Tamandua tetradactyla: one gene and its partners. The protein of the gene in region 2 purifies or fractionates together with the protein of the main gene of each other region. This does not show direct contact. Links are inferred from orthologs where the notes say so. Each region holds a gene or a part of one and is shown on either strand. Other genes may lie near its edges.

Region 1 (6,989 bases), on a different chromosome or scaffold from region 2:
AAAAAGGCGTAAGGATAAGGGCTTTCCCAGCAAGTCTTCCTGGTTGTAATTCCTCAGATGTAACTCTCCTTCATGGCACTGCTCTTTGTTGGCTGAGAGGCCTCTGCAAGCCCTGCAACCTACATAACAGCTAGGCTGGGGTTGGCATACCCGCTTACTGCTGGCCAGAGAAAGGAGAAAGCCTGCCTGGGGAAGATAGGTCAGAGCCCAGAGGGGTCCTGAGGCAGCACACAGTCTTACCGCATCAAACTCTGCTTGATCATCCTCAGGTAGGTCGCTGGTTTCATAAACATCTGGCTCGTTCCTGGCCTGCAGGTAGAAGCAGTGATCACCCAACCACACTACCCAGCATCCAAACTAACAAAGAAAGCATAGTGTGATGCTGAGATTCTGTCCTTTCACCTCTGCCTGCCCAGAACAAGTCAGTTCCCCATGTTTTAGAGGAGTGGGGATGACAGTAAAGATATCTGGGCCTGACAGTAAATGGTGAGCGTTAGTGATGAGAAAAATACTATCCAGAATTTGGAGGGGGGCAAATCTTTGCACTCATTATGTCAGAAGAAGGTGAGGGCTATTCTCAAATTAGGCCCTGTACACCACTACCGTAGCACAACTCCCATCCCGAGGATACAGGGAGGGCAACAACACAAGCAGAGTGGTACATGCCGGCATGTGCATCGGGGGACAAGTTCCCGTAGTGCAGAGTTCCACATCTGGCACAAGAATGGTTCTATCACCCTACCCTTTTCCTTGGTCGGGTAAGGCCATTATCAAGTGACCTGTGCGTCTGGGGTTCTGGGAGGAGAGCTTATGGAGGGATCTGGGACAGCACGGGCGGTGTTAACACGGCTGATGGAAACACTAGGTAGGGCACAAGTGGAAAACACCCGGTGCATTCCGGGGCCGGGTAACCGGCAACTGCCGGAAAGTGGGCCTGCTGCGCCGGCCGACAGCCTGGCCCAGTCGGGTCGGAGTCGTTGGGAAGGTGCTGTGGCCCGTCGGGAAGGGAGCAGCAAGCGCCCTTGGAGCGGAGGAGGGGCTGCAGGGGGGAGGGGTCGCGGGTTGGTATCTGTTGGGGATCCTTGGTAAGTCGCGGGCGCGTTGGTGGGGAGCCGGGGCCGGCCCCTGTACTCACAATGCCGGGAAGGTCGGCGTATTTAGGGTCCGCCATGGAGGCGGCGAGGCGGGGTTGGGGGACCGGGGCCTCGGAGGAGCCGGGGCTGACGTTCGGGTAGGGAAGAGGTTGAGGCCGGTCCCAGGCTAAAGCGGAAGCAAAGGGAGCGGCGGAGCAGTCGGAAGTCTCGCGACAGTAGCAACACAGGGAGAAGGGTAAAGCAACAGTCGCGAGAACAGCCCACTACCACACCCCTGACGGGGCGGTGATTGGCGAGGACAAGACCAGAGAATGAGGTAATGGCGGGGGTGGGGGTGGGGTCGCCGCCTAGGATTGTGGGTTTTGTAGTCTCGGTAGGCCGGGGCTCGGGCAGGGTACGACAGTAATGCACCTTAGGGAATTATTTCACAGAACTTATTTCCTTTCATGTTTACATCAAGTCTGTGAAAGTTATCCGTTGTATATATTGGAACTCACAGAAAATAAGTGACTAGATAAAATCACACAGCAAGTCCTGCTGCAGTACGGCCAAAGATTTCAGAAACAACAATAAAAAGTAAAATTTTGAAAACGCTTAGGGTCTATTAGGAATGGAAAAGTTACATACTCTTCTCAAGTTAGAGCTGTCGGATAAAGTACAGGGAACTTAGTTAAATGTGAATTCCATATAAACAATTTTTTTAGTGTATGTCCCATGCCATATTTGAAACATACACAATTATTCTTTATATGAAATTTAAATTTAACTGGGCGTCCTCTCTTTTTTTCTTCCTAATCTGGCAATGTGCTATCTCAAATTCACACAATAGGTAAGTGGTAGCTCAATGGTTGGCAGACCAGTCAGTCTCTGTTCTTCTAACCACTTGGCTAATAGTTCCCAGACTTTGGGATTTCATGGCTTAATGAAACTAAAACAACAACAATACCAAGATAGAAATATCTTGTGAAGATAGAAATAACATAGCTACATTTTTATTTTGCCAAGTAAGTACAACGAAAATGAAAACCTATGTATTATCACTGTCATTAATTAGTAGAAAAGTAGGAAGGACAGACTTTCAGAATAAAGGACAATCTTTTAAACTTAATAAATCCAACTTTATGAAAAATACACCCGTTGGCTTTTTTTTGGAGAGAGGGGGTATACCCAGTGGGTTTTTGTCTCTACCCAGTGACTTTCCATGTTCTGGCATTTTGCAACTACTTAACTAAGGATGCCACCCTGGAGCCCATGGGAGCCTAAGGTTAGGATGTTTCCTGAGTTTGCAGGATGCTGCAACACTTAGAAATAGTGCCAGACCAAGTGACTGGAGAGAAGTCTATTTTCCTGAGTTGGAACTCATTGTCATTCTAGCCATACTCTCCTGGCTTCTCCCCAAACTTCTGTCTCTCTTTCTCCATAGAGACTGCCTTCTCATCCAGTTCCTTATGCTGGATCCTTTTCATTCAGTTCCTTTAAGATGCACGTTGGGATCAAGGTGTAGGCCCAATGTGTAGGGCCCCTTCCCCCAGATGAGTGGTTGTGTCTTGTCTGGTCAGGCCAACAGCCACTAACCCTTGCCCCATAGTGTCTAAATGACGTCAGACATTTTCCAGACAGCTGTTGGGCAGAATTTCCATCCCTTCCTCCCTTCTCTCATCATTCTGCCCTTCCTCCCCTTGACCTAGAGCCTCAACCTGCAGTCCAACTCCCTGTTGGTCAGCAGAGGCCTATGACGGGAAGAAAATCAATTTGGCCAGCTTCTGAATGTTTCTGTCCAGGGGCTGCAGCCCCTGCATGAAGGAAGGACAAGCAATCTCTGGGTTTGGCTTTTGCTAGGGAAGGGGAAGAACCAGAGAAGAAAGACCTGAGAAGGGAACTGCTGTGTATAGATTCTGTCCAATTGTATCTGAGACAGGAAACATACTCAGGTAGGGTGCTAAACCTGCTTGAAACTGGAATGCAGAAATCCCTCCTAGAAAACCTCTTCCAAGCCCCTCTGGTCTCACCTAGCCCATCACCACTTCTCCTTCAGCACTTTCTGACTCTTAAAAAAGTTACTCCTACCCACTTCCATGCCAACCTGAACCTAGGAAGCAGAAATGAGGATTTCACTGGCTTTTAGATTCTGAAAGCCTAGAATGGGAGTTTGTTGCCCCTCAAACTGGTATATAGGTTGGGGGGAGAATAGAGTACAGCCCTTGGTGTAGAAGGGGAGAGAAGTAGCCAGACCCTTCTCTCACTCCTCTCCCCCAAGAAGGGGACCTGGAGTCCCACCCTCCCTCCCGGTAAAGCAGCTGCCCTTGGAGGTGAGTGGATAAGGAGTCCGGCGCCTGTGCTTGGTGGGGGTGATAGAGGAATAAGAAATGTGCTCCCAATTAGGACAGAAGATTGTGAAGGAGGTGGGGGATGCCCCGGGAAAAAAGGGGGACGGAAACCTTGTTGACACTATTCCCTAGAATAGGCCCACCTCCGATTTCTTATTCCCTTCCAGGGGGCGGAGTCCTACAGAGGGACAAACTGGTCGAGGGAGTGGGATGCAGGGAGTGAATTGGTTGGGGAGGGGGTGAGGGCAAGGTTCTCTCCGAGCGTCCGGCGGTGGGGGTGGCCGGGAGGAAGCGAGAAGACCGGAAGGATCACACCGCTCGGGGGTCGGCGTCCCGCGGCTCGCCCCCCCGCGGAGGAAGCCCCGCCCCCGCGCCTCCGTCGCGGCCCCGCCCAGGCCCGCAGCGAGGCGCTGCAGCGCGAGGGGCGGAGAGGCAGAGCGCCGGGAGAGGACCAGACGCGCAGATCTCCCGCATCCCAGTGCCGCAGCAGAGAGGAAGCGCGCCCCATCCTGCTCCCTAGCCTTTGCCCCTGCGACCCCACATCCTTCTCGGCCCCAGAGACCGAGCATCTGTCCTCCGCCTCGGCCTCAGCTGGGCGTCTCCCTCCTTCAGAGCACTTACCACCCCTGCAGCCCAAGAAGTGCCCCAGCCCCACGCCGGGGACCACTATGGCGGAGACAAACAACGAGTGTAGCATCAAGGTGCTCTGCCGATTTCGGCCCCTAAACCAAGCCGAGGTTCTGCGGGGGGACAAGTTCATCCCTATTTTTCAAGGGGACGACAGCGTCGTTATTGGGGTGAGTGCCGCCCCCAGAAGGGATTTCGGGGAGGGGGCGAGAAGCTGAATCTTCCCACTGCGGAGCCTTGCTCCCTACCTGTCTCTCTGCGCCCCCTCCCCACCGCTCATCTTCCACCCTCCATCCTCCTCGCCGCAGTCCCTCCTCTCCCCTGCATCTGGATGGCTGGGTGTGGCCTGCCCAGGCCGGTGGCCAAGTCTCCGCAGAGTGGGAGGGGGCTACTTCCCAGAGATCTGGGGACTCCACTCCTCTTTGCTGAGTCCGCATCCCTGAAAGGTAGTCCGGTGTTTTTCTGATGTTTTCCATTTCCCCTAGAGAAGGCCTGTCTTCCCTTTGTTATTGGTTCCGATCTCTACCCCAGCCTCCCAGGAAAGGAGGGGGAAGGCTAGTGGATGGGCTAGAAGCGAAGTGGGCAGCCCAGGGTCTGTGCAGAGGTATGAATGGGAGTGGGCTCCAGAATCAAGCCCTCCATCATCCCCCAAACTAATTAGCCTGGACTTGGGAGCGGGGGAGGGTTCAGGTCTAGTGAAGGGTTTTCTGGGAAAGGAATACTTTAATGCCACACCCGATTTGGGGGGAACCCCTGGGGTCCTAAGGAAATGTCTATCTATCCGTCCCAGGTACAGTGGTAAGTGGATTTCAAACCCCTCCTATCCTACCCCTCCAAAAAGTAAAAATGCCAGAACGCTGAAATCCTAATAAATACTTGCTTATTCACCCTTTCTGTTGATGCTCCAGTAAGAAGTAGCAAGCCATTGTTACCTCATTGTGACAGCCCCTTCCCATGCAGGAGATCTTATTAAGAGAACTAATATTTATTGTGTGTTTGTTGTTCTACATATTAAATCCTCAAAACATCGCTCTGAAGTAAGTATTGAGATTTCCATTTTATAGATGAGGAAATTGAGACCCAAAGAAGTTTAATGACTTTCTCAAGGTCACACAGTTATGGATCTGAATCCAAATCTGTAACTCAAAAACTCATGTTTTTTTTTCTCGACATCACACTGTCTCCCCAGATTTCTGTTCGGGACCTTTATCTGCTATGGCCCATAGGGAATTCCTAGGCCTCACTCATTCCACCTTTCCTAGATTAGTAGGCACCATCAGGCTGTCGGGTGAAAGGACCTGGGGGTTGAGTCCTATGGTCTTGAAGAGTGCTAGGCCAGGAAATGGTTGCCCTTTTAGTGAAGGGAGTGGCACATCTGAGGGTAGACCCCAATCTTCTCAAGGTCAGGGCTACTTATATATCTTTGATCCACAATGCTTGCCACAGGCAGCTGGCAACAGGCCTGTCAAAGGAATAAAGGGAAGGAGGGGAGGGAGCATGGGCCCCCTGAGTCAGTGAATTTGGGACTTTAAATAAACATGTCTTAGGAAGAGACCTGCTTACCTGTTCCCAAGGGCCCTAGTCTGTCACCACCCTGTGCCCTCACCCATGTTGTGAACTCAAATGGGTGCTTTTGCCTTATATGTGTGTTTGCATGTGGAGATTTGTCTCTTTTTGCCTTAGGACCCCAGGCCTTGCTCTCAGAGGGTCTTACAGTCTTGTCACTCTGTCTAGGCCAAAAAAAAAAAAAAAAAAAAAAGGGCCTCAATCATCCCCAGGGAGGGATTGGGGGTGACCCTTATCTGAGTAGCCTGGACAGTAGGCATTAGCTATAAAAGTTAGAGTTTGAGGTCCTCCTTTGAAATGAAGGCTGAAAAATTGGAAAGAGATGTTTATGGAGGAGAAAACACACAAAAAGCTTCCTCTTTTAAGCTTAGCTTCTTTGCCCCAGAAGGTTTTTCAGGTAAGTCTGAACCGACTCCTTTGGGCTCTGTGGGCCATCCTGGTGTGCTGAATGTGGAGCAGAGGGTGATGCTGGGAGAAAGGGGTATGCTGTCGATCTGTCCAAGTAGCCTAGCTAAACAGAAGAGACCAGTGGGAGGTGGGGAAGGAGGAGAGATGAAGAGAAGTCCAGGGCCCTCTGCCCATTCAGATTCTATCTCAGCTCCACAGCTAGCACTTCCTTGTCTGTTTAGCTCTATATTTGTAGGACTATACCTTTGTCTAGTTGGGAATCTTCCCATGCCCTAGCCCTCCCAGTCAATCTCTCACTCCGAGATAAATGCTTGTGAGGGGCCATTTTGTCTCAGGCAGCATCCTGGAGGTTTACCTTCCCAGCCTTATTATTCCTTCCTCATTTAGGGGAATGAGGCTATAGGAGCAGTGGTTTTGAGGGAACATGGAATAGTCATCTATCCCCATTCCTTCTTTTTTCCGCTGGTCTTCCTTTAGGACCCAGTGTGTGGGAACAGTTTGAGAAATTAATGGAAGAAGCTTCAGAAGCTTCTTTATGCTGTCTGGGAAGATGAGGGAAGAGCAAAACTGGGAAGGGCCATCTCTCCAAACCCAGCCCTGCTCCTTCCTATAACCGCTCTCCTCTGTACCTCTGCAGCATGGCCGGGCGGCTAGCTCTGGGCTTCAGAGTCCCTTATGTCAGTGGGCTTTGTTCTGCTTGGCAACGGGTGGGTGAATAAGCTGGAGAGACTGCTCTGCGAACCTTATCCCTCCCCTGCTCCCCTGACTTCCCCCAGGAATCTGGGGGATGGAGCTTAGCCAAAGTTAATGGCCTGAGTCATAGCAGAATAGTGTCTGGGTCACCGTCTCTGTGTGATGTGCATCTCATTTTGCTCTTTGTGTCACTCAGGATCCCAATGTAGTTTTGTCACTGGACCAACTTACGTGTCTCTCTGTTTATCTTTCTTGGCTATGCTGCGGGTGAGCG
Region 2 (7,748 bases):
ATACTGTATTTTAGACAGCGATAACTGCTAAGGTGAAAGATAAAGTAGGGCAGGGTTTCAGTAACGTGGAGGGAAGGTGCAGGCTGCCACACTTCCAGAGTCCCGACTACGCCTGCGTGCTGGTGAGGGCAGCAGGGGCAAGAGGTGGGGGGTGAGGGCTGTGGGACAGCAGCAAGAACTCCAGCAGAGGACCATACGGTCTGACTCACATTTTAACAGTACCACTCCAGCTTTGCTCCCTGGATTCCTCCACTCCCAATCTTCCCCACCCCATTCCTGCCAGTGCCCCCACCATCACCCCATTGCAAGTCACCAAATCAGATCCCCTCTAGCCGTTAGTTAAACCCTTCTAATCCCACCATTCCTCTTGGTTCCCACCGCGAGAGTTTGCGCTCACCTGGACTCCTGCCAATAACTCCCAAACTAGTCTCCATCCTTCCATCTCTGTTCAAACCACCTACCACACCACTGTCTGCACCCGCTAATCAACTAGTACCTCCAGACCTCCTTAAGCCCCTCAGGAAGAGACCAGCCTCCTGTACAACCAAGACACCTTCCATAAGCTCATCTTTCCATTCTTACCCTTCAGCCCTTCCTAACATTTCCCCCTTACTGGAGGAAGACTTCACTCTCTGCACAGAACCAGCTCCCACCCATCGTGACTCAGATCAGGAGTCACCTCCTCTAGACCCTGCCTTCCCTGGTCCCCACCCCTTCTCAGCACACTCATCACATAATCTACCCTCACCTACGATGCCTAGCTGTTTAATTCTGGGTCTCCCTCACCCCACCCACCCAGACTAGAATTTCCTAGAGAATGACTCTCTTTTATCGCCATATCTGCAACTGCATGGCACAGAATCTAGCATTTAGGGAGTTTGGTCCTCAATAGACATTTGACGGTGGGTTTTTAAAACACCATGCTTTCATGATCTGAATTTGCTTACCATTTTTATTCTATTCCCTGCAGTGTGGTACTTAAAATTTTCCTTTACTCTTGTTTAAGATACACTACTCAATTATCTTTGTTATATAAAATACTGGTTTATCATACCACTTACTTGGTGACATATCTACTAAAAATGCTCCCAGATTCATTTTGTTCAATTTTTGGCTTTTTCTATTTCTAGTTTTCTTTTTACAGAATTATGTAACATGCTTAAACAGTTTTCAGACCTATATGGAAAGCTACATGTTGGCTTTTTAGACAACATTATGAAACATAAGGAAGAATATGTAATTTTAAAAATTGCAGTTAGTTTTTATTTATTGTGAAACACTGAAAACACTGTGCATCTTTCAGAGGACATTTCCTTCCTCCCTGCTAGCCTCCTTGGATCTGATCACTGTCCTCAATCCCCCATATTTTTTAATATGCCCCCTATGTATTGCCTAGTGTTTTTATAAGCAAACACTGCCAAGAAAAGTAACCCTGGGTCCAGTGAGGCTTCCACCCTGGCCTTCCAGAGTACTGGGCAAGGAGCACTACCAGCACCAGGGGTCAATATGACAGTGCATTCCTTGATGACTTGGGGAAAATTGTTTCTACCCTCCCATAAATAATTTCCCACAACCTGAACATTTTAGTAGTTAACGCCAGTGTATTCTTAAAAATACTTAGGAAACAACAATGAGTCAAATTTCCCTCTATGACAGGCTTGTTGCCAACCTGATTCAATTATGAGACTCAATGAGGTTGTTCCAATTTCCTAATGGGTTTTTCACTCAACTATTACAACTTATTGCCAGCTACTTGTTTTGATCAATGGCTCAGTTATGTTATACAAAACAAAGAACCAACCAACCAAACAAAAACTATGGAATTTAACTAATGCAAAGAACCAAATACCCAACTGCCCTTTCACACAGCAATTTAAATAGCATGTATCTTCACTTTTCCGTTGTTCTCATGCTTTTTAAAACACCACTTTTGCAAGTACTCCTTACCACACGCTGAAGATTCAACAACTCAAAGATAGAAAATACCTGGAAAAGACTTACAAATCTTAAGTTATAAAACCATGCAGTCCACCACGCACTGATTTTAGCTTTTAAATGCTTTATTTAATTTTAATTTTTTTTTTCAAGACAAGAGGGACGCCAAATTTTATAACCGAAAAAGTATTTCAAGACTGAAAAAAAAAGTGCTCCACGACGGAGGCTGCAGCATGCTAGGTGCAGCAAGGCCACTCTGAGTTAAGCCCGCGCACAGAATCTTTTCCCATCGGGTTATTAAAAGAAAGGGGCAGGCGACGCTGGACCTCTGCTGAACCCGGCCCCGGATGGAGGCCCGGGCGGCTCCAGTCGCCGACGAGGATGACAGGCGCGTCCGCCCAGGGCGGTGCCCGGGAGAGGGCGGGGGCGGAAGGAAGGAGGAGGATTCGGACAAAGCAGACCCCGGGCGGCGGCACTCCTCCCCACTAGCCCCGTCCCCGGGGCCGGCCACCACCCCGTCGCGGCGACTCCCGCGACCCGCAGCGGTCCCCGGGAACTACCGCCCCCGCCCGCCGCAGGGCCGAGCCCGGCGTGAGGGAAGGGGGGATGCGGGGGCGGGGGATGTTGGGCCCGGGATGCGGAGTGCCGGGCGGGGAATGCGGAGCCGGGAACAAGGGTGAGGATGGACACTGGGAACGGACCGGTGCGAGACAGGGAGCCGGGCAGGGGTACAGAGGAGTGGCCGGGAACCGGGAAAGGTTACCGGGCAGGAGCCAGGAGAAGCACCGAAAGGAGACCCGGGAGGAGCCGGGGACCGGGGCTGTTGTCGGGAAGACCCGGACGGGCATCGAACCCGGACGGAACCGAGACCTGGCCGGGGACCGAGGAGACGGCCGGGGCCAGGAAGGTGACAGGCCGGCGACCATGCCGCGGCCCTCACTCACCGTCCTGCTCCTGCGGGGGCCGCGCTCGCCACGCGCTGACAGGACGTGGAGGGCACGGGCCGCCGACGGGCCGCCCGCCGCGCGCAGAGAAGCTCGGTGTCTCAGGCGCGGCGCCGCGGTCACGAGCGAGAGGTGCTGACCCGGCCGCCGACCCGCAGCATCCTCGGCCGGCCGCCGCGCTGTCCCTCTCGGTCGCCGAGCGCAAGCACGAGGCTCCTCTCCTCGCGGCTCCTCTCCTTGCAGCCGCCGCCGCCGAAAGGCGCTCAGAGCTCCGCAGCCGGCACCGCTTCCGCCGCCGAAAATGGCGCCGAGCCCCTCCCCCGCGCCCCGCCCCACCCCACAATGCCGCGCGGCGCCCCTGTCATGACGTCACGGGCCCCCGCCGCCTGCGCGCGGGGAGACTGAGGCCCGGGAAGGCGTGCCTTTGATGGTCCCTGGCGGTCGGAGCGGAGCCCGTGGGGCTTCGTTCACACTGGGCCGGGACGTGGCGAGGCGTGCGAGGGCGCCGTCCGTGGGCTGCTCGCTGCCGCTCCGCCCGACGCGCTCGGCAGGGCGGCAGAGGAAAATCCGACTCTTCCCCTGCCGGTCAACGCCGCGCCCCCGGCCTCTTCCCACCCGAGGCCCGGCCCCTTTCAGCCTCATACATCGGGAGTGATATTCACTGACAGGCGCTCCTTGTGGCAAGCCCGGGTCGGAAGCCGTATTTGCTCCTTGAAATCGTACCTTGCCCCCTGCAAGGAGGCTTTCTGAGCTCCCTCTGAAGGAAGGGTTCCTGCAAGGCTTGGCCAGACCCTGGGTACGTTCGGGGTCTTAACAGCCGGGCCCCTAAAGGCCCAGGCCCTTGCGCCCGCCTCATCTCCCATTTCCCCTCCCTTGCCGCCAGGGCCCTGGATCCTCAAGAGTGTGAGCTTAGAGGGACTTTCCAGGCCCTCCTTCAAAGCCTACAAAGGCCTCACCCACACTGCACTTGGGGCTGGGAATAGGGGAAAGGGCAGGGTGCTGAACCAGCTACTGCCTGGCAAGAGAAGAGAAGCCCACGCTCTGCTGTCGCAGCCACTGGCAGCATCGCACACCCCTGCTGCAGTGCCTGGACCTCCAGGCCCCTGCAGGGCGGAACTTCCAGGTCAGGGAGGGCCCCGTGTATCCTGCTGCATTGCCAGCTCTGCAGGTCTGACTCAGCAGCCCAGCAACCGGCCTGGAGGCCGGGAGGACGGTGCTGATTCAGGGGGCAAGGCTCAGCTTTCGTTGCCTGCCACCAGCTTGGGAGAATCCTCCAGGTGCCTGAAATATCCCTGTGGCTTTAGGAAGCAGGAGGGCTTCCTGTGTCCGCCTGCATACCCCCCCCCCATTCTGTACTCCTTTCCTGGTGCCTGTCCTCTTCAGATGCTATCCCTATTTTAACCCTGCAGTTACGGGTCACCAGGGAAGTGAGTCTCCTAGGTTTTTCCAGGGAGGTCCAGTTATGTTGAAATATTGAAATATTTACAAATGCTAAGAAAGGGGGAGCACCTATGGTGACACAGCTGTTACAGAGCCCAAGAGTGAGACAGTGAATCGGACGGAGTCAAGTCCCTCCACTGGCCAAATCGCGCCTGGTTGTCACCGGCCTTAACTTGCCTGCTTCTCAGCCACTGCTGTAGGCCCAGGCCCAGCAACTGCAGGCAGGGGACCTGTGAGCATCCACTCTCTCCTGCGTAACAGGCTGAGCAGAGGCTCATTTATCTTTCTGTGCCTCTAGGCTCAATAAGTGGCATTTCCAAGCACCCATCACCCAAGCAAGAAACCTGGGGCCCTTATGCCCCACTTCTGAGGGGTGGCAAGATCCCACCTCAGTATTTATTTAACTCATCTCTTCCCGGTTCCCTTCACTGCCACAGGTGCAGGCTTTGTTATCTCATTCATTTATTCCTTAAGCAAATATTTCTTGAGCTCTTTTGATTCCCACTAAAAGAGCCAAGAATGTGTTGGTGAGCAGGGTAGAGAAGATTCCGGTTCTGCAGCAGTCTACATTCCAGTGAGAAGAGACAGATGGACAAACACATGAAGTGGGGAATATCTGAGCATGCCGTGCCATGATCAGGGTGAACATAAAATGATATGTACAACAGACATGGCTCAGAGACCACGCTGGGCAAGCAGTGAGGGATGGGCTCGGAGTTAGGGCAAGAAAGCTGAGACAAGCAAGGAAGAGACCAGGCAGCACAAAGGTGCAGGGCAAGAGTGCTCTAGCAAAGGTGCTCAGGCCAGAATGAGCTTGGAGGGTTGGGGACAGAACTGAAAGCTGGGTTCATCTACCCCACCCTAACATGTGAATCTAGTGATGTGACTTGAAGTGTTGTGATGCATCCACCCCTCTCAGGGCCAAGTTGAAACTCCTTAACTTCATCTGGAAGACCCACAGGACCCGGTCCTCTTGCCCCTAACACCCTCACCCATGCCCAAGCTCACCTGTTCCCTCCCATGGTCACACCCTGGATTTAAGTGTCCATTCTGCCCAGAATGCACCCCCTGCCCCCTTGTCCTGGCTCTCCTTCAAGATCAGCCAAGAGGTATTTCCTCCAAGAAGACTTCCTCTAAGCTCCCACCTTCCCTAGACTTCCCCCTATGCTCCTTTCCTTCACTATGTGGGCAGGTTACACAGCTGACACCCCCCTCTGATAGTGAGCCCCAGAGCTGGAGGCAACTGGACCCCCTCCTCACCCCCCCCACTGTGAGGGTGAAAAGAGAAAGGAAGGTCAGGGATGGCCTCCTCCAGGTCCTCTTTGCACGGAGCTCCCCTTTGGTGGAGCAGACACTTGAGGCACTCTGACCCCTGGAACTAAGGCCCATCCTCAAGAATTCCCATTCTCCCTTTGGCCAAGCCTTAAAGGGAACCATTAGCAGCCAGAGCTGCCACCCTCCACCCCTCAGCCTCCCTGGAGAGAAATCTGCCTGTCCTCAAAAAGACATGGGTGCTCTGCCTGAAGGCTGCAGGTCTGGTGACTCCGCAGTTACCCTGGGGGTGGTCTCAGGATCTGCCTGGCTGCCCGCTGGAGGGCAGGAGGGAAGGAGGGCAGGGCTGTCCAGGCAGAGGGTCGTGCCCGCCTTCCCTTCACTGCCCTCAGCATCCTCACTCCACTCGCTCTGCAAATTCTGTGATTTCTTGCTGCCTCCAGGAAAGGAATGGCTCCTCAGGTTCCAGAATCAAAACAGGGCCTTGTGCTCCAGATGCAGGCCCAGCCAAGTCATCATCAGTGTCTGGTGGGAACCTGGAAGCGGGGAAGGCCTTGGGGCTACTTCAGAGTCAGCAAACCAATTGCCTGTTCTTCCCCTAAACCAGGAGGTGCAGAGGGCCGTGGGAGCATAAGTGGCTGGGGGGGAGTCCCAGGGTGGACCAGAAATGCCTGTTTGCACAAGTCCTGGCTGTCTCTGAACACCTCTGAGGCCCCCAGGCTGTGGGGGATTAGCCAGCGGCTCTTCAGCACGCAGGGTGCCTGCACACCCTGAAAAGGGGGCCCCCGCCTGCCTCAGCCCCCTCCTCCCATCTCTTCTCTGCTTCCCTCTCTCCAAGGCTTCGTCCTCGGCCCTCCTCTGTTTTCTTCTCCTCCTAAGCCAGCCCCAGCTCCCCCACTGCTGTGCTCCCACACTGGAGAGAGTCACAGGCAGCATGGAAATCTGGCCAGGCTGGGGCAGAAGCGACACCCTTGGAGGCAGCCGCTAGGGCCCAGCAGACCCCAGGGCTGAAGTCCCTGTTGCAGGGGCAGTGAAAACGTCCAGCTGGGTCCCGTGAGGGCGCAGATAGCGACCTCTTGGAGTTTGTCAGGCCGGAGGCCTCACAGATAATCGGGGAGCATGCCACCCCGTATTCGTTCTGTCCCCATTGTTGACTGAGGACTGCATGTGTGAGGCACCCCGGGCCTGGGACACACAGTGGAGGAGGGACACTCGCTGGGCAGGTGGGCAGGCCCCACAGGTGAAGGTCAGGGGGAGGGCGCCGGGCCAGATGGGTGCTGAGCCAGGCAGTAATTGTCTTGGGGAAACCTGGGTTGGCGGGGGAAAGGGGGTGTCTGTTCTTTTAGCATTGATCATTTTCCTGTAAACTCTGGATTTCTGTCTCCCAGGACAGCCAGGAGCCCCTTTAGGGCAGGCAGGGGTTCTGGGTTCATCTTTGCTCCTGAGAACCCTGCACTGGTAGGCATCATCCTCAGTGAATTTAAGGGAAAGGGGGAGGGGGAGGAAAGAAAGGAGGAGAGAGAGAGGGAGGGGGAGAAGAGAACCCAAGAAGAGAGGAGGAAGGGCAGCAGCAGGGCGCGGGGAGCAGTCCTGGAGCGCGGTCTGCGGTCTGCAGGGCTCAGGCTTGGGGACGGGGCACGGGTGGGGCCTGGCCGGCATCCTGCCCACCGGGGTAGCCAAGGGGCCCGGGGCCAGTTCAGGCTCTGACCTGCTGCACTCTCTGGGTCTCTGGCTTTATGGTCTAAAGATGGATTTTATCAGATTTCCAGGTTCCTCTTGCGTGCCAGCTGCCAGGCGGAAAGTTCCAGTAACTGTTTCCTTCAGAACAAGGGGAACACCAGAACACACTCCCACTTTGGGTGGAAAGAGATGGCATGAAGGGGTGCGGTGGCCCACCCCACCCCTCTCGCTGGCCCTCTGGCCCTTTCTGTCTTTCACACACACGCACACACACTTGCACCAACCCACCCACTGTTCTCTAAGGGGAGGGGAATAGAGGCCAGGGACTGCTGGTTTAAATCCGGCTCCCCAGGGGTGCTCCCCAGGAGTGCTCCCCAGGAGCCAGCGGGACTCCTGTCTTGGAAGAACTCAGCTTCAGTTCTGTGAAAACGCTCATTTGAGAGTGGGGAGACTGATAAGACCCCTGGTCACCTATCC
Region 3 (8,000 bases), on a different chromosome or scaffold from region 2:
TCAGAACATCAACTAGTTCCATCGTCCTGTCCCATATTATTAACAGCCCTTTCCAACATGGGAAAGTTAGAATGGGCAAAGCCCAGATAACCCTAAATACTGGGAGAAAGTTCAAAGGAGAAGGTGGGTCATAACAGAGAAGATAGGATTTAACAAATGAGTATGATTGCTGAATCATTATATTGATATTTTCTTTACTCTCCAGTGTCTTGGAGCAGCTAGAAGTAAAAACCTAAAATTGTGAAATTGTATCTCATACCCAACTCTGAAATCTGTACTACAACTAATTGTGGCAGTGTGCTTGGAAATTTTTTGTATATATATATTGTATATATTGCTTTTTTGCAAATGTGTTATTTTTCACAGTAAAAAAATGTGTTTCATTTAACCCAACATTTCCAAAGTATTTTCATTTTAATATGTAAGCAATATAGAATAATTATTTATGAGTTATTTTACATTCTTTTTCATACATAAGTCTTCAAAATCCTGTTTTGTTTTTTTTTTAATATAGCACATCTGGTTTTGGGCACTAAATTTTTATGAGAAATGCTTGCTGTGTATTTAGATTTCAAAAAATTTACAATTGAAAAGGTAGATTCACATACCAAATTATTCCATATACTTAAAAATTTTCCAATAATTGAGCATTGGTTTATAAATTTAAATTTTAATTAATTAAAATGAATAAAATAAAAATTCACCTCCCAGCTTCATTTTAAGTGCTTAGTAGCTACCAGTGGCTCGCGGAGGTCTGGAGAGTATAAGGTCACAGAACCAAATGCCATAAATGCTGTGATTGATTGATTTGCTTTGTGTCCAGAGATGGTTCCAGCTTAGCCCAATGATAAAAATCCTTAGTTTGACCTTTAAGTTTTTTCATGTCTGGAAACTAACTTGCCTTTTGACTTAATCTCTTACTAATCCCACTCAGGTTGCATTGGTCTCCTCACTGTCCCTGGCCATGCCAAGCTTTATCTGATCTCTATACCTTGGCCCTTGTTGTCCTCTCCCCTAACTATTCTCTTGTATCAGTTGAGACGTTTTCAGCCGCAACTAACAGAACACTGACTTAAGGGATAGGCAAGTTTATCACTCATGAACAAGAAGTCTAGAGTAGAGCAGGTGTTGGGTTTGGCAGATTCACCAGTTTGAGGACCCAAATTTTTGGGTCTCTTGGCTCCTGCTGTCCCGCAGCTTTGGCTTTATTTTAAGTCTAATTCTCCATGTGGTCACAGCATGTTTCCAGTAGCTGGGGAGTGATGGTTGAGTAATAGAATGTCTTTCCAAACTTCTGGCAAACTTGTACCTTTGTCTCCTTTGCCTAAACTGGCATTAGCCTGCCCATCCTGAACCAATCCCTGGCAAAAAGGCAGGGATGACTACGTTTGACTGACAGATTAGAGTCCATACCTGGAGCAAGGGACAATTCTCCAACCATGTTCATGCTACACAGTACGGGAGGGGTGGAAAGGATGTCAGGGAATTAACCCCAATGACCAAAATATCTCCCTCCCTCCCTTCCTTTCCTTTTGTGACTACTACCTAGCCCATCTCCTTGATGAAGTCTTCCCAGGTACCACTAAGACTTCATCCTCTGCCCCCCAACTTGTTTCTAAGTTCTCTGAGGGCAGCAACTATTTTGCAACTCCTACCTAAGTGGGGAACCTGTGGTAGTCCTCTTGAAAAAAGGCTCACTTTATAGCCTTACATTTATATAGCAGCAAATGTCACTTGCACATTAATATTGGATGGATGGATGAACACATGAATGAAGAGTGAACTCAGTCAATGCAGGTAGATCTCTGTCCACCTCAAGGGTTTCCACGATTTTGACCACCTCAGACAGACCAGATAGCTGGTGGGCTGTGTGTGAGCTTCTGGGCATTCTCTGCTGGGCCCAGGGAGGCTGGAGATTAGACTGCCTTCTCCAGTATCTCATGAAGCTGACCACTGAATATGCTGGTTCCCTAGCCAGCACCTTAGAACTACTTCATGTGAAAACAGATGAGAGTGGCACTTGGGCCTTCTTTAACCTACTTTCACTGCATCTGAGAACAGGAAACCAAATTGGTGCTGCGTACAGTAGTTCATAACAGTGAATTTTATTAAGCGTGTCCTCTCTGCTAGTCAGAGGACTTGTATTCTGAGGTATACCTGGATTTAAGCAAAAGATGTGATCCTAAAATTAACTAAATAACTATTACATAATTTTTTGTTGCACACCCAATAATAATAATAGTAATTGACATTCAAAGGTTTATACCATGTATGTGTCAGGGGTCATGGCCACATGTTTCAATGCCTGACAGAGACAGGCTTTTGATTCTGGTAGTTTCGGTCCAGAACCCATACCATTACCCACAAAGCCACATTCCTTCTATTTCGTATCAGGGATCATTTTAGGGGCCTTCAAAGCATTATTTCCTTTCATTCACTCAAAAACCCTATGAGATGATATTATTATTCCAATGACAGAGATGAGGAAATTGAGTCTTAAAAAAATTCAGTACATTGCTATGGGTCTAGTAAGTGACAGAACTGGGTATAGCTCAATCACTCAGGTGTAACTTCCTCCTAAACTGGATTTCTTACTCACTATATGCTGCCTACTAAGTGCTAGAGACCCAAAGATGAAGCAGATGACATTACCTGTGGAAGTGCCATGATAGAGACATGCACAGGAGACTATGGGAACCTCAAGGAGGACCACCAGCTCTGTGCTGGCATTTAGTGAGTCAGGGAAGGCTTCATAGAATAGGGAGGGTTGAGCTGAGTCTTAGAGGAAAAGGCAGCACTGGCAAGTTAGAGTGGACACCTCATCGTTCTGCCAGCCCAGCATCACACCCTTCTACTGGGACTAGCATCCTCTTTTGGGATTTCTCCATGGTTTTACAGAGTCCCTAGCTCTGGTTGATTGTGTATGGGCAGTCACCAACTCAAGCGCAGGTCAATCAGAGACTCTCCCTAGGATTTTTCAGCCAAAACTCTGAACAAGAATCTATCCTCTAATGGTAGAAACTGAAAAATGAACCTCAAGGGCTGTTGGAAGCTGGGTTTCCTGCCATGTAGAGGGAGGCTGTAGAGTGAGAAAGAGTAAGAGAACAGGGAGCAGAGGAGGAGAAGAGAGTCCTGGTGGCCTGCCCTGCCTCTGGCTCAGTTGCTCAATCATATCTTGAATAAGCAAGATACATCTGTATCCTTTTGGAAAACTCCCTCTTTGCCTGATTGGGTCAAGGGGCCTTTCTATTGCTTTCCATCATAAGAGCCCTGACACATTTACCTAGTGTCTCAGTACCATAAATTGGATGGCTTAAAACACAGAAATTTATTGTCTCATGGTTGTGGAGACTATAAGTCTGAAATCTGTAGGGGAGAATCTTCTCTTGCTTCTTCCAGTTTCTGGTGTTTGTTGGCAAAACTTGGCATTTCTTGGCCTCGGTCTTTGCCTCAGTCACCACATAGTCTTCTCCCCTGTGTCTGAATTGGTGACTCCTCTTCCTTCTTATAAGGACCCTGATCAGACTGGTCTCATCTTGACTAACTGCATCCTCCAAAGACCGTATTTCCAAATGAAGTCACATTCACAGGGTTGGGAGTTAGGGCTTGAACATGTCTTTTGGTGGGATACAATTCAACCCGTAACACTTAGTAATGGGCATGAATGGGTGGAGAAATTCCAGGAGAGCAAATGGCCTAAACAAAGTATCAGAATCAAGAGGTAACATGGTAAATGGAGAAAGCCACACATAGTCTGGTATTTGTCAGAGTGTAAAAGGCAAGTAGTGGCAAGAGACGAGGCTAAATAAATAGGCAAAAATCGGATCATGGGGGTCTGGGTGTATCCTGTGAAGGAATTTGGACTTGATCTGAACAAATTCTGTTTATTCTGCAGAATCCTAAGTAGAAATTTAGGTGGAATTCTATAATCTTAACTGCATTTAATAGTATTTAAGAGTTTCTTAACCTAGGAGTGACAGGTAGGCTTCAGCTGTCCTGGAGACTTCTGAATAGCACGCAAAATCATGTGGTTGTTTAAGGCTATTTTATTTTATTTTTTTTGCCATGGAAAATTTTCCTAACTTTCATCAGAAATAAGCTGAGGCCCCGACCCAAAATATGTTATGAATCCTTTGTATATACAGGCAAACCCAGGTATAACTGGTTTCAAATATCCATGGCAAATCTCATCCTCCACCCCTGCCCCCCGATTTACTCACAACTCCTACAACAGTCTTCAGAGCAAAGAAAATGCTGGATGACAGTTCTGGTTGGACACTGTCTTAATAAGTGGTTCTCCTTTGGAATCAGGAGAAGTGGTAAGAGATTATATAGACATGGTTTTCTATATAAATTTTAACTGGGAATATTGGATATGACCTTCCATCCAGTTCTTGGCTTGGGCAGTCAGACCAGACTTGTAGGCTCTCGGAAATCGCACCTGGTGCACCACCCTGTTCCCGAAAGCTAACTACAAGTGTCCTTGACGTTCCACCTGCACATGCAGCGACTACAAGTCCCGAGATGCGCGGCGCTACGCTGAGAGCCGGGCAGGGGCGGGGCAGGCCCCGCAGTGACGTCACCGTCCCGGGGCGGGCCGCAGGGCGGGGGGCGTGCGGAGGGGCGGGCCCCGGAGGCTGCGAAGCGCGCTGGTGCTGAAGCAGGATGGCTGAGCGCGCAGGAGCCCGGGAGGTCTGAGCCCAGCAAAGCTCCCTCCTTGCGCATCGCCTCGTCTGCCCTCCGCGTGGTCGCGGGCGGGTGGGCCCCTGGCGAGGGCTGGGCAGGGCAGGTGTGCAGCTGGCGGGATCGGGGGCTCGTAGGCTGCCACCTCCCCGGTCTCGGAGCGGCGGGAGCTGCCCAGCCAGCTGAGCTATGACCTGCTGAGAAGCGTCGTCGGAGGCTGCAGGAGGCGGCCACGCTGCGGGCGGTGCATTCCGCGGCCTCCTTCCTCGTGGTGCCGAGCCCCGGCCCCCCACCCATCCCCGCGCCCCCTCCCCGCCGCTGGCCGAGATGGCGGATCCAGCCGAATGCAGCATCAAAGTGATGTGCCGGTTCCGGCCCCTCAATGAGGCCGAGATCCTCCGCGGGGACAAATTCATCCCCAAATTTAAAGGCGATGAGACCGTGGTGATCGGGGTAAGTGGCCGGGGCGTCTGACCTCCCCTCCCGCTTCGCGCCGCAGCCGGGTGCCCCGACGCCCCAGATTGAGCGTAAATGCGCTGGCCGCCCCTTCGGACAAGCCCGCGGGGCTCCCCTTCTGCTCCCCAATCCGGGTGGGCGCGAGGAGAGACCACTCCCCAGCCCCATAGGTCCCTCCAGGGCAGGAGGAGGGTCGGCTGTGGGTGGTGGGGCGGGTCCCGGGTGGCAGTGGTGGGGGTGGGGGCGAGGAAGGGCTGGGCGCCGCCATTGTTCGCGGGGTGGGGGCCCGGGTGGGCCTATTGTTTCCCACCCTGGCCATGCCGCATGGGTAGTCTCTTCGAGGTACTCTTAAGTCGGGGCGCTTGGACCCCCTTGGAAGTATGAGCTCTGCAACCCACAAATGCTTGCAGGCGTCTGTTCGATTTATCGAACACTTTGTCTCTTCTCTCGACCTTAACAAAATAAGAAGAAAAATCCAGGCCTCAGCTCGGGGATTCCGTGGCCGTGTAGACGCGGCTTCCCGCGATGTTTCACCTTGCTCAGCTCGCGCAAGGCGAGGGTAGATGGGGGGCACTGGCGGCCTTGGTGGTCCCAGGAGGTCCGTTGTGTCTCGTTCTGCTTGCCCTCAACCCAGGCTGCCTGGACGAGGAGCCTAGGTTTGACACTTCCCGGCTGGGGCGAACCCCACCTTGTGTCCACAGACCCTCGAATGTGCTTTTCACTGGGTGGAGTGTGTGGGGGGGCTGGGTTCCCACGTGTGGAGCTAGGGGGGCAAGAACGCATCCAGATAGCCCGTCTGTGCCAAGAGCAGAAGTTACTTGTGTGGTTAGGGGCTCCTTGGTCTTAACCACTCTTCTCCCCATTCCCTGCCCCCTCCGCCTGGGCCCCCTATTTAGCTCCCTCTGCTGTGGGGCTGCTGGTGGGGGGAGGGGATGCCATTGGTTTTTTTTTTTTTTTTTTTTTTAGTTCTTAAAGACATAGTCAGCCTGGTCCCCCTTTCCTGACCCCTACACGGTTCCTGGCATGTGGCTGCCGGTGCCGCCTTTGTACGCGAGCTGCCTGGGGAGGGACTGAGTTAATCGGAGCCCCCAGGTGCCGGCTGACACGTTCCTGGTAGTCGGCTCTAGGCTGCTGATGCAGCCTTCCCGACCCAGCATTGATGAAGTGATGTCATCCCCACTACTGAGCATGCTCTTACTAATCCCCCCCACCCCCCCACTCCCCCAGTGGCCGGTGTATTTAGGTCAAGTGATTGACAGGTGACTATTCACTGAGGGGCTCGTAGGTGTCGGCCCGAGCTGTCTCTGAGCACGGGAGGCCGAGGTTGGCGCAGCCGCGGGCGCTCCCCAGCAGCTTGGCGGAGGTTGTTTGCCGCAGTCCCGGCGAATGGCCCGGGGGACCAGTAGGTACTAGCGTACCGGTAGGCGGGCGCTCTCCGCTCACGGGGAAGCCAGGCGGGGCTCTGGCCTCAGGGCTTCATCCCGTACCTCCTTTGGGAAGGCAGCTCCCCTTGACGACCCATTCTCCCCTCCCCATTTTCACAGATGTCAGGAAACCACGACCTTCAAGTGCTAAGTGGGTGGGCGTTCTTTCGGAGAGCTAACCTGTGAGGGCCAAGAAGAGGGATTTTCTCTCTGCTAAGTGTTTACTTGCAGAGATGATTGCCACAATTATTGATGAGGAGGGAAATTCTAAAGTTATTGACAGATTTGGGTTCGTGACCTATCCACAGCTAGCACCTTGGGGCAGACAGTGGCTTGTTTGGGTTACAGTTCTCAACCGGGATCTGCCTAATAGTCTGATCTGCTCTTTGCTCAGCTAGGCTGTGGTTTAGATAGAGTGGGAGTTACTGGGAACATCTAGTCTCTGCCCCCTGGCTGGTAACAAATTTTTAACAGATAGTGCAGCACTAGGTCCTGGTGACCTCCCCCTCCCCTCCCCCCCCATCCCCCCACCCCAGAGGTTTTAAAGAAGAGCCTGGAGGAGAAGTTTTCTTCTCTTTGTTTTTCTTCTTCTCTTTCTTCTAATAGAGTGAAGTATCAGGACAAATGAGGAGGAGGAATAAATCTTTGATCTATGTTCATAACAGAGATCCTTAATTTTAGGCTTATCTTTCTTCCATGTTGTGACCTTCATGTAAGTGTGTATTATCTTCCTATCTAAATATTCACTTGTTATTGACTGAATACACTGAAGCGGTCATCACATAAAATAAGTAATTTAAACAAAAACTGAGGATTTGAATACATGTGTTGCTCTTTAACTGTAACATGTAATCCTTTTATACAATGGACAGTTTTCAGGGTTTTGTTTTTTTTGTAGATAAACTTCTTAGTGTTGTAAAACCTTAATATACCCAAGTGTTATAAGTATACAGTATAGAGCTTGATGAATCTTCACAAAGAAAATGCCCCACCTTGAAACCACCTCTCAGATTAAGAAATAATATTTTCATGACACCAGAAGCTCCCCTAATGCCCCTTTCTAAGTCATTACATCCTCCTACCTCAGGGTAACCATTATTGTGACTTCTAATGCTATAGATTAGTTAGTTATCCTTTTTTTAAAAAACTTTATGTACATGGAACCATACAGAATGTTCTTTTTTGTGTGGCTTCTTTCGCTCAGTATTATGCTTGTCCAATTCATCTATGTTGTGGCTGCAACAGTAGTTTGTTCATTTCCATTCTCCATAGCATCCATTATATGAATGTACTATAATTCATTTATCCCTTAGCTGTTGATAGATATATACATAGTTTTTCAGTTTGGGGCTAATATGAATATTGCTGCTCTGAACATTCTTTTACATGTCTTTTGGTAAATGTGGGTACAGAGCAGAAATCTGCCAGATGCTAAAG

The links.
Region 1: the proteins of KLC1 (region 2) and KIF5A purify together in Homo sapiens (co-immunoprecipitation; 7 studies listed by BioGRID and IntAct, counting the BioPlex papers as one, with this or other methods). This does not show direct contact. The link is inferred for Tamandua tetradactyla from reciprocal best matches to the Homo sapiens genes KLC1 and KIF5A.
Region 3: the proteins of KLC1 (region 2) and KIF5C purify together in Homo sapiens (co-immunoprecipitation; 4 studies listed by BioGRID and IntAct, counting the BioPlex papers as one, with this or other methods). This does not show direct contact. The link is inferred for Tamandua tetradactyla from reciprocal best matches to the Homo sapiens genes KLC1 and KIF5C.

What each region holds. Positions count from the first base shown.
Region 1 is NC_135333.1:124,840,197-124,847,185, forward strand, and holds the start of KIF5A (kinesin heavy chain), read left to right. Parts: upstream 1-3,984; 5' UTR 3,985-4,089; coding exon 4,090-4,218; intron 4,219-6,989. Other genes in the region: DCTN2 (dynactin subunit 2), read right to left, coding at 241-309, 1,136-1,171. UniProt on the Homo sapiens protein: Microtubule-dependent motor required for slow axonal transport of neurofilament proteins (NFH, NFM and NFL). Can induce formation of neurite-like membrane protrusions in non-neuronal cells in a ZFYVE27-dependent manner.
Region 2 is NC_135340.1:89,202,522-89,210,269, forward strand, and holds the start of KLC1 (kinesin light chain 1), read right to left. Parts: upstream 3,005-7,748; 5' UTR 2,880-3,004; intron 1-2,879. UniProt on the Homo sapiens protein: Kinesin is a microtubule-associated force-producing protein that may play a role in organelle transport. The light chain may function in coupling of cargo to the heavy chain or in the modulation of its ATPase activity.
Region 3 is NC_135329.1:118,827,442-118,835,441, forward strand, and holds the start of KIF5C (kinesin heavy chain), read left to right. Parts: upstream 1-4,995; 5' UTR 4,996-5,010; coding exon 5,011-5,136; intron 5,137-8,000. UniProt on the Homo sapiens protein: Microtubule-associated force-producing protein that may play a role in organelle transport. Has ATPase activity. Involved in synaptic transmission. Mediates dendritic trafficking of mRNAs.